Drosophila melanogaster: one gene and its partners. The protein of the gene in region 3 purifies or fractionates together with the protein of the main gene of each other region. This does not show direct contact. Each region holds a gene or a part of one and is shown on either strand. Other genes may lie near its edges. The genes, in order: tobi, sick and clu.

Region 1 (3,754 bases), on a different chromosome or scaffold from region 3:
CACGCTAGGAAGTTTAGATATATAAAACGGTTTCCGCTCTACTCCAGTGTGAATCCCACGCGCAAAAAGTAGGGTAGGGTATCCAAGGGAGCGGCGTAGTCCATCACCCAGGTGGGTCCAGTGTACACCTGGTCGCTGTTTCCATCCTGCCACTCGCCCTCTGGCAGGTAAATGTCTCGCTTGGTGGCGCCCTCGACCACAACGGGAGCAGCGATGATGTCTTCGCCCAAAAGGAACTCTGCGAGATATAAACCAGTTATAGCTGCTAAAATTTTAAGTTAAGTGACAGGATTACCATCATAGATAGACTGCGCCACCTCATCAGTCGGGGCGATCCACCAGAGGGGAACATTCACAGGTTCACCAGAATCCACAGCGCGCTTAAAGAGCTTCATAATGTAAGGTGTATAGGTGGCATGGAGGGCGGTGAAGTTCTTGCTGATCGCAATGGCCTCGTCGTCAAAGTTCCAGGGAACGAAGGAGAACTGCAGGGCGGGCATAAAGACGTTGGCCTGCAGCCAACGGAGGAAAAGCTCCTTGGTTGGTGGCTTTTCGTAGTAGCCATTACCACCAATCATATCGGGAAGGACGAAAGGATAACCGTTGAGGTTCATTTGCAGCATCGAAGAGATCAGTGTGAGCAGGCCGTTGTTCCATCCCCATTCGGAGTCCTTGTCCACGATGCGCACGAAGATTGGCTGATCTTGAGTGTTCTGGGCTGATCGAACCTCCACCATGTCTCCGAATGCCGCTACAGTACGCACGTAGTCGCCCACCGCCTGCAGTGGTGTCACCATGGAACTGCTAGCCTGGAGTACAGGATCACTGGGTAGCCAACTGGTCTCTCCGGCATCAAACTTGAAGCTATCAATGCCATCCTCATCCTGAAGGCGCTTTAAACGCTTGCTGAACCACTCCTGAACCTCAGTTTTGGTAAAGTCCAAAATGGCTGCATCCTTGGGCTTGCTGTTCCACCATTGCGTGTCGGAGCTTCCCTCGTGATCGAGCACCAGGTAACCCTTAGACTTAGCTTCATCGTAAATGGCTGTGCAGTTGTTGTTAATGAATGGATGAATCCACAGGGTCACACGGAAACCCAAGGCCTTGAGGTCATCAGTCAGGGTCTTGCTATCGGGGAACTTGTTCTTCCTGAAGGTCATGGCTCCATAGCAATCCTCCCAATCATCGTCGATTTCCAGCTGGCTGTTGTTGAACCCATTATCCAGAATCTGCTTGGCGAAGTCACGAACCACATCGTCGGATACCTCAGCCTTGTAGAGAGCCCATGTGGACCACACAGGATGCATGACCATTCGCTCATCGGGATAGCCTGTGGGTTGGCCGAGGAACGTTTTAACGGCATACCGGTGCGCCGCCTTGGCATCCTTGGCCACAGCTACGTGGTAAACGAATTTGGCAGAGGTCACCCGAGGATCATAGGGTAGAGCACTAATAGCACTCAGACACAGCTGGTCAGGATAGGCAGCACTATTCTGATCAATAAACAGAGGAGTGTTGCTCTCCACGTACAAAAAGACTCCGTCGCCGTTCAACCAATATCGCTCACCCACACCAAAGTTATCCAGCTCCTTTGGCAGGTAGGAATAGTTACTATGCCTCTGTCGCTCCACTGGCCAGTAGTGTTGCTTCTGCTCCGGACCACTGAACCAGTGCGTCGATCCGGTCTTCAGGGGGACGCAATCCCTGGGTTGGGTGCCTTGCAGCACCTGATCTCGGGATACTTTCACATGGGTTATCTCACTGCCTGTGCCGGCAACCACTCCGCTTTTGACCAGGGTGAACTCCACGGTGGATTGGCCATCGGTAAGCTGGTAGCTACCACTGCTCGTCTCCACCAGATTGGCGCTGCTGTCAAAGTTGTCGAAGGTCACCGTCTGCAGGGACTTCTCGCCCTTCATTAGCTCATACTGCAACTTATCACCTCTCCTAAGTCGCACGTAGACATTGCTATTGGGAAACTTGTAGCGCTGCTCGATGCTGGCACAAGTGTGAACCGCCTCCCAGAGGCAGAAGGATGCCAACAGCAGGGATAGTAAAATAAACCTCATTTTCGTGCCTTTCTCACAACACGACTGCCGGTCATGCACGGGCTGATCTACCTAATATAGTCGCGATAAGAAAATCGATGCGACTTCGTTGGGGCTTCGGTCAGCGTATTATACAAATAAAACTCTTGAGCGATGTCAACACAATTCTCACCTGGGGAGAACACTTCAGACAGCTCCGTGATAACCTGTCTGATAAGCGGGGTCCCACCTGAATTTCTTTATTTTCCATTAGCTAATTGATTGTTGTTACCGCTGAGATTGCAGTTCACCTACATACACAGTCATCAATAAAAAAATATAAGCCTATCTCAACAAGTGACTTCTTAAAGTCAAGGACGGCTTCAGAAGCAATCTGAAAAATCCTAATATCAAATGCAACAGTTTCTTATCAGTACATGAACATTTTGAGCATTTCCTCAAGTGTTATATCGCTAAATCGATGAATTATACCTCTTCAAGTAGTTTCAAGCAGTAGCAGCTAAGTTAAAATCATTTTATTAAGGCATAAATATTACAAATAATTAGTTTTGATTTTTTTTCTTTTACATTTAATACTTTAATCTATTTTGGCTTGAAATAAAGGAGCTGTAATGCCGTCGAATGTAACAAAATATAGACCAAAAATGCGTTTGTCGGTCGCTTAACATATAGATATATTTCTGGTGGTTATGAGGATGGCTAAATGCATGACCTAACTAATAACTTGTTTTGATTATTTAGGGTACCAAGTGGCTGATCTCATCTTCCTCGAATATCTTTTCGCTGGGCGCTTCATCGCGATATATATTAACACCACTCTTTCTCGCTGGGAAGTGGGCCGTAAACAGTTCATCCTCGTCAGAGTCACTTTCGTCACCCGGAACTAGGGAAACTCGGGAGTATAGTTCGTTGGATCGAGCCATTGCCCTTCGATGATACACGATGCCACCGGCCACTGCTACGCCCATCAGGGTGAAAATCACCGAAACCAAAAGGAGCACAGTTGTGCCAGTCATATATTGCTGGGTATCTCTATCGTCCATTTTGGATATGTCCACCACACTGGCCATTCCCGTGCTACGCACCACATAGGCATAGCAGAAGGTCTCGTTCAGGATCTTACGCAGTTGGCTGCCCGGGGAGCAGGTGCTGCACTGGGAGGCCAGGGCACCGTAGCACTCCAAGCAGCTCCGATCGCAGGCGGCACAGACCCGAGAAGGCACCTCCACCAGTTGGGTGAGTGAACTACGACGACGTCGATCCTCCGCCTGCAGAGGATCTTGCTTGTCATCCAAGCTGTTGGACATCAACAGGGAATGATCCATGGGGGAGCTGCTGTAGGGATTAACCGGACCCCTTGTCACCTCGTCATCCTGCTCATCCTCCTCTGCTTGGAACTTGTCCAATGGATATGTGTGCACCGGGCAGACATCGTAGCACTGGTCCTCGAACATATAGGCGGAGTCATTGCACTCTGTTGAAATTTAGAGAAGGTTGATGTTAAATATTTACTTTTGATCCAAAGTGGCAAGGAAGTGATTTACCTCAGCGACAGATTTTGCGAAAAGGAATGTTTGGAAAATAGTTGGTTAGAAAGTTGTTACAAAAGCTTAGTGAAACTCAAAACGAAATAAAATTGAGCAATGTTTGTGCGTGTTGAGATTGGAATAAAACGCAATGAAAACACACAAGCGATTAAATGGGTA
Region 2 (3,754 bases), on a different chromosome or scaffold from region 3:
CTCTATGATAATAGTCTCCTCCAACTCGAGCTCCTCGTTATCGTATATTACTTCTGGCACCAGTTCATCTTCATCCTCGCAGACCAAGTGCTGTCTTGAGCTGAAAAGGGGATCCCTCAATCCGTGGGCTTGAGTACTGGGATATCTCATGGCTTTCTCGTTGATAAAGTCCACGGGATCAAAGAGACAGTAGTTCTCCATGTGCGAGGTGGCAGCCTTGCGCTGTCTCACTGGTAGATTCCTTAGCTTTTCGGAGTAATCCGCCACATCTTCATTATTATTGGCTGATTCTGGAGCTGGAGGAGGCGGGGATATCTCCTGACTGATGGGCCTTTCCTCCTGCTGCTGCAGCGACTTCTGTGAGCCCCTATGAAGGGTGGCAAACAGGCCACGAGCTATGCAGTTCTTCAGCTCACTCACACGTCCTTTGTAGGGACTCGACTGGGCACTGCTGCTCAGGATCGAGGATTCGTCGATTCCCAGCTGCTTGCTGAGCTCCTTGCGCTCCTTCTTGCTGAGCACCACCTTGCCACGACTGGGCGTATTGGGGGCCGAGTGGAGCAGCCTCGATGGCATTTGGGAGAGGGGCGGTGGTGTGGGAGGCAGCGGATCCCTGTACGGTGGTGGACCCACCAAACAGGTGGCATAGCTAACTGGTAAGTCCGGATAGGCCGTACTCTGCGCCGATGCCGTGGGATCCGTGGCAAGGAACTCCAGTTCCATGTAGTTGGGATGTGGCAACATCTTCGGTTGATTCTGATGATGATTGTCCGTTCTTTGGCTCTTGGGCTTGGCGCCCAGTTGGTTCTCCTCATTCGCATTGCGATCGGGCTTGGTTGAGGAACCCGGACGCAGTTTTCCTGCCTGACTGGACATTTCTAGGGTTTCACTGCAGCTTCCATGGGCTCAGCACTTTTCACTCACACACTCACTCACAAATTTTGTATACATTTTTTCGCCGCTTGGGCCAAATTAATGGCTTTATAAATCTTCATCTTTATGGAGGGCAAAAACGCGTTAATGGGTTTTCTAGTCTTTCGACCAAAAAAAATAAGGTCCTTTTTCCATGTCCTCTCTCTCTCTCTCTCTACTATCTCTGTTTACATTTGTGTTTGTAATTGGATTTTTTAGCTGATGCATGTCAAAGTTAAATTAAAACTGACCCAGCTGGTCGGGGGAAAAAAAAGAGTTATACGTTTCTAGGTTGTTTTTGCGGGCAAAGAGTCATAGTCATGGTCATGGTTACGCCGTGGTTTCGTCTGCTTTTGAAGTGTTCCAGAATGCCGCCGAAACAATGCCAAAGTCGAGCTTTTTATAATTTGTCTACAAAGCAATTAACAGGAAGCCAACGCTGCAGGGATTGCGATAAATGGTGAACAATAATACAATTAAAGTACTGCACATGCGGTTTTAACTTGAATTTGTGCATTGAAGCCGCAGAGGTGGATACATATATATTTGCAACTTAAATGCTTTAAATTGAAAAAACCGAAAAGCATTCACATACATTTTTCTTCAGCTTCCGGCAAACAGCACAGGTATTATTTTGTTCGTGCAATTTTCGAATAAAAGCGATTGTGCGATAGAAGCTGGAAGGGAAATTCAATACGAAAATGCATATCAAGTGCTCGCTAGAGTTTCACATTTGATTAAGTTTCATTTCTCCTTCAGTTTCCCCCCGGTCGCAAAAATGCAGACATAACGGAGATATCAATAACAAATTGACAGCAAATGGATCCATGAATTTATTAAGTGGAAAGCGAAGTGAACAAAGGAATGGTTCATCACTCACGTACAGGTATCTTTTCCATTACACTTGCTGAGATTCGTAGAGTAAATGTGAGTAATCCAAATAGATATAACAAATAATGAACAATGCCAAAGAACAGCATGTTCGCCAAATCGAGATTATCCCAGCATTGTTTCCACTCGGAAAACCAGCAATGAACTTTTAATTTCCTTTATTTCAGCCCACTCACAAAACAAAACTATGACGAACATTTTTCGCCAGGCCAACGTGGCAACAACTGAGAGGAAACCGAAATGGAAAAAGTTTTATTGGCAACAAATTGAAAACCGCCTGGCCATTTGAGTCAGTGAACCAACAAGTTGCATAATTGTTGGCGCATGATAGAATTAAACGCCTCGCAATGAGCCGATGTTCCAATGGCTCCTCTTCTTCTTCCTCTTCATCCTGCTACTTCCGTTTCCGGAAATGGCAGGCTGCAGGTGGCAGAGGCGAAAGAAGTTACTCCAGTTAAGTGGAGTTTCTCTGCCGGTGTCTGTGCCTGCGTCCCATAAAGTATACTGAAAGTAATTTGCAATTAAAATGTTAATTTTTAATTGAATTGCAGATGGCAGTAGGCAATGGCAGTAGTCTCGAATACTGAATCAAGTTAATTAGTGTCAAAGTAGGCAGCTGAAAAGGGGAGGGCTGTTGGGCAGCACTCAAGCCCAAGGTTGATTTATCCAGATTAGCAAAGTATGCTAATGAAATGGTGATAAATGCAAATAATATAAAATTCCAGTTTGACTTACTTCCCAGATTAAATGCAATTGGTAATCCATCTTCTAGGAACAACACAGTTTTTCTTTACATCACCATTACGATTGTAGTTAAAGAAGCAGAAATGTTAAAATCTATTCTACAAATGTGCTCTAATCAGTTGAATCTATACTTTTATAACTGGGCAGTACACGTATTAAATGTTTAACTCCTATAAGGCCACACAATCCTTGTCTGCGTCCATTCCCCTGGGCTTAAAATCCCCCTGAAAGCCACGTGGATAGTGGCTCTCTACTCCAGCATCACCTAATCCCTGACACTTTCAGTTTCCATGACGATTCCGTGAAATGGGGACGAAATGGGGGCAAAAAGGAAAAAAATGAAAGGACCCCGAAGAGAAAGGCAGAAGGCAGGACTTAAAGTTAAACACTTTTGCTTTGAGGTTGAAGTTGCTCGCACTTCATCTGCCTTTGCTTCCAGCTGGCAGCAGTCAAAGTTGACAAAATACTTGTCAAGATTTGCGCATTGAGTTGAGTCCTCCTCTTCCAACTTGTAATTGCAGTTTTGCCGTGGTCTCTTTCAGCTCTGCAGCTCTGAAAAAAAGAACAGATTTCCACCCACTGGGAAAACCCGACGTTTTGCCGGAGGCCATCAAGCCGCAAACTTTACGAGTTGATAGCTGAAATAAAGTGGAGCATGCATTCCGTGCCTTTTAGCCCGCCCACCCACTTCATGACATCATTTTATTTGCACTCAATCTGAGTTCTTTTAGCGCCGCTTTCTGCGCCCAACACGCTGTGCAAACTTCGCTGGCAAGTTGGTTAGAAATGCTTTTGATTTGCTAGTGAGTTGACCAGAATCCCAGCCCCTCGACTCGCTTTCCACACAAAAGCCCACTTTTGAAAAGTGCACGCTTTTCTTTCCATCCTTCAGTTGCTCTTATTGCACCAAAAAGCCCAACCAGAACCCAAAACGTTATTCAAACAAAGAAGAGAAGTATAAGTATGCTGAGGTTTGCCAGAAAAAACTCATAAGTACGCCTTTTGTGTGACTTCTAGATACTCTATCCACTAGATTTCATTTGAAAATTGCATCAAAACAAATATATTTGGCGAAAATTCTAACAAACATTGAGAGAATTTTAAAGGGTAGGTATAAATTCATATAATTCAGTAAATTCTTGGCCAAACTCCATATGGAAATTTTAAATTACAGGGCATAAATAAAGTGCAAAGGCCGTACCGAAAA
Region 3 (3,754 bases):
TGGGCTTTTGTTGCGGTTCTTCTTGCCTACATGGGGCGATGAAGAAGTAATTTGTTGTTAGTCAATATTGGGAAAGGCATATGGAGCATTGTGTAACCTATTCGATGTATAGGGAGAAACGTGAACTTTGGACCGACTTTTGTTTCCATGTCTCTCAGAAGAATCTTGTATAAATCCGTTATTTATTTATTATGGTTCATTAGTATGTTTTTAAAAACAAAAGATTATTCTTAGGAATTTAAATTTCCAAGCAATGCTGCCAAGTTTATGTTAGAATTTAATGTTTACCATTCTTAATTTATAAATAGTGGTTTATATCTAGTTTAATAATTAAACCTTGATATTATTTGAAAAATGGTGACAGAATTAAAGGTAATGCAAATACGTTACACGTTTCTTTTCTAAAATTGTCTGGCAATATATAATAATTTAAAAAGAGGTGTCTCTACCTCCAGGCTCCGATTTTTACATAACAATACTGTCCGCACACTTTTGTCGCTCAGTTTGTCTGTGTTCGCCGGCAAGCTGTGTGCTTGCATATACATATAAAGGCATATGTACATACATTTACAACAAAACAGTAGAAAAACAAACAGAAAGAGAAAAGCGAGCTGATAAGGCCAAAGGGGCCGGGTTCGTTCGGAGTCCGTACGAACGAACAGTCCACCGAATAATCCAATCTCCTTTCGATCTCTCAGGAAAACGGAATGGGTTTAACACGACCATGCTAATTTCAACAGCCGTATACTAAATTACAGCACTGTGAGATACATAGAGATAGAGCTAGGGAGAGAGAATGAGAGAGGCAAAGAGAGTGGGGAGAGGAGAAAGCAAAAGTGATAAGTACAATGTTCATTAACCGCAAGGAATTCGGAGAGAAGGAGACAAAGTGTAGAGCGATGCGTCTACGGATAGAAAACATGATTTACATAATTGTCGAACAATTTGCGTGTGTTAAGTGCATGCATTTCGGGCCGCGCACGTGTTAATTGTAGGTTAAACGCAACAAGAAATCCGCCCGGGGGGTTAATGAACATTTCGTCGCCGTTGCCGGGTTAATAACATGTGCGTTGCCATGCCAAGAGGAAGAGAAAGAGCGAGAGAGATAGGGAGCCTCACACTTGCAGTTCTCACACACGCACTTAACTCCAATAATACACACACACACATTTACGATTGCAATTGTAACCCACGCGGTTTATGGAGAGAGGGGGAGAGGGAAGGCTCGTAAAAGGGGGTGGAGGGGCAGCCATAGACAACGGGCGCCGCTTTTAAGGCATTATAGGGAAGAAAAAGCCCATTACGTAATGTTAAAAATGTTATGTGATTGGCTTTTGTGGCAAATAATATATTGAGGCAGTTTCCAAGGCAGCAAAGCTAAGAGGAGGTGGTGATGGGTTGGTGTGTGGGTGGGTGGGTGGTTGATTGGTTGGTTGAACATGGGCGTAGGCGGAAAGTTAAACGCACCTTTCTTCTTCGCAGCCGGCCCGTCGGCAGCCGTGCCATTGCCATTGACCAAGTTCTGATTCGAATTCTGCTGATTCGAATTCGGATTCAGGTTCTTTTTGCCGCCGGCCGTGTTGTTGTTCTCCTTGGCCTTGCCGCTGGCCTTTGTTGCTGTTGCTGTTGCATCGCCCGTGGCCGTTGCATTTGAATTCTTCGCCTCCGTTTCAAGCGCCATGCTTTTGTTTCACCTGCTCGCCAAAAACTCAACAAAACCAGCGGAGGAGACACAGAGTTCTAGTTCACGTTTCTTTTTTTTTTGGGCCCGTCCGTCCGTGTTACACAACTCTAACCGCTCGCCGAGCTCGGGGTGATTTCGGTTCGATTTTCAGTGTCTTTCTGGTCGATTGCGAACGTGATTGTTGTTTGGTTAACGATCTCGTACGCATCTATGACAAGTGGGTCTTTGCTAGTTCTGTTCTTTTCAGCACATTACTTATCGAGGATATAAATCGGCCGATTCGCTAGAAAATAACGCGTTATGTTGTTAACGGCTGAGAGTGTGACCACCGGGTGAACATTTAAATATACCGCTGGCATTGGCTTGGTTGCAGTATTTTAATTAGTATTTAGTTATTTGCTGTGTATAATTGCAGATGGACAACAACTAGTGATAGGGATGCACACGCAAAAACGATACCAATATATATGATTGCATTTATTTTAACAACAATTGTGTTCTGTTTAATAAAAGGTAATTTATGCACAATACAAACTTATTTTTATTTAAAACAAATTTTTAAGCCTTTTTATAAAGTGCGTCATATTAGCGTCGTTGAGGAACAGTGAAATTTGTAACATGGGTAGGTTTTTTTTATTTTATTTGAAGGTGAATTTCTATTCAACAATTTTTAAAAATTAATTAATGTAAAGGGCCTGTTTTAAGGATGGGTTGGTTCATAGCTGGACCTACTGTTATGAAATTATCTCAAAAATTGAAATTTTCCTGAAATTCCACCGTTCCGCCATCGCCGCTAACTTATCGACTCTAATTTGACGCATACAATTTTACAGATCAAGCATAGTCCCCGTTAAGTTTTTTTTTTAATTCGGTGTGTATTTTTTACGACTTGTAATACAGCCACACATAAAATACTGTTTTTAACCAAACAAACATGTCGCTTATAAAGAATTTGGTAAAAGAGCCCGAACAGAAGGCAAAGAAAAAGAAAAAGAATGCGGGATCTGGAGAAAGCGATTCCGATGAGAAGGACAAGCCTCTGCGGCCGTTCATCAAAACCGCGACAGATCTACAGAGGCTGAAGCTGGAGAAGCTCATGAAGAATCCGGTATGTGTTTGCATTGGAAAGCTGGGTGGACATTCATATTAATAAACCTTTTATTGCCAGGATAAGCCCGTGGTCATACCGGAGCAGCGTCGCGAACGGGACTTCATGTCCTCGGTGCCCACGTTCGTGCGGAATGTGATGGGAAGCAGTGCTGGAGCGGGTTCCGGCGAGTTCCATGTGTACCGCCACTTGCGACGCAAGGAGTACGCCCGCCAGAAGAACATCCAGAACCAGAGTGCCCGCGAAGCAGCAGATGAAGCTTACCAGCAGAAGTTGGACGACAACAGACGCGCGGCCGAAGAAAAGACTGCTAAGAAACGAGCCAAACGGTTGAAGAGAAAACAGAGGGCGAAAAAGCCGAGAGAGGACAAGAAGCCACTGGCTAAGGAAGCCTCAGAGGATAGTAACACAGATTCCGAGGAAGAGCCCACAGAAGAAAAGGCAGAAAGTAGCCCTGAGGAAGGACAACAGGTGGCATCCAAGGAATCCGACGACAATAACACCCAAGAAACTTCGAATGAAGAGGCAGTGAATTCAAATACAGAAGCGAAAAGCGCAGAGGACACAAATGCAGTGGAATTAGATAGCACCGAAGCTACAAAGGAATCCCAAAATGTGGATCAAGAACAAGACAAGCCTGTGCCTTAGTACCTCCTGTTCTATTCCTATCAATAAACCGTTTAGAGTAATAAAACACAGTGCGGTTTTATTTATAGTACTTTTGTAATATATATATATTAAGCGATTTCTATACATCGCCAGTATCTAGGGGTTTTCATCTGAGGCCATCTTTCTAAAGCAGCTTGGTTGAGAAGAAAGCGTTTTGCGAATTATGCATTGAGTTGTCGTGGCTTTAGTGCGCATTTTGTTTTTTGTTGTCTTACATTTATAAGGTGCATCAAATGTTGCATTTTTGAGTATAATAAATGCTTTCAAAATTTGACATCGCAGGCAATACATTA

What was found.
Region 1: the proteins of clu (region 3) and tobi purify together in Drosophila melanogaster (affinity purification with mass spectrometry, with the first as the bait; one large-scale study listed by BioGRID). This does not show direct contact.
Region 2: the proteins of clu (region 3) and sick purify together in Drosophila melanogaster (affinity purification with mass spectrometry, with the first as the bait; one large-scale study listed by BioGRID). This does not show direct contact.

What each region holds. Positions count from the first base shown.
Region 1 is NT_033777.3:25,344,818-25,348,571, forward strand, and holds the start of tobi (target of brain insulin), read right to left. Parts: upstream 2,105-3,754; 5' UTR 2,070-2,104; coding exon 296-2,069; intron 239-295; coding exon 39-238; 3' UTR 1-38. Other genes in the region: Fur1 (furin 1), read right to left, coding at 2,786-3,522.
Region 2 is NT_033779.5:19,824,396-19,828,149, reverse strand, and holds the start of sick (sickie), read right to left. Parts: upstream 1,677-3,754; 5' UTR 877-1,676; coding exon 1-876.
Region 3 is NT_033778.4:16,184,850-16,188,603, reverse strand, and holds the start of clu (clueless), read right to left. Parts: upstream 2,021-3,754; 5' UTR 1,682-2,020; coding exon 1,468-1,681; intron 716-1,467; exon of another isoform or gene 450-715; intron 27-449; coding exon 1-26. Other genes in the region: CG8441 (uncharacterized protein), read left to right, coding at 2,619-2,792, 2,853-3,440. UniProt on the Drosophila melanogaster protein: mRNA-binding protein involved in proper cytoplasmic distribution of mitochondria.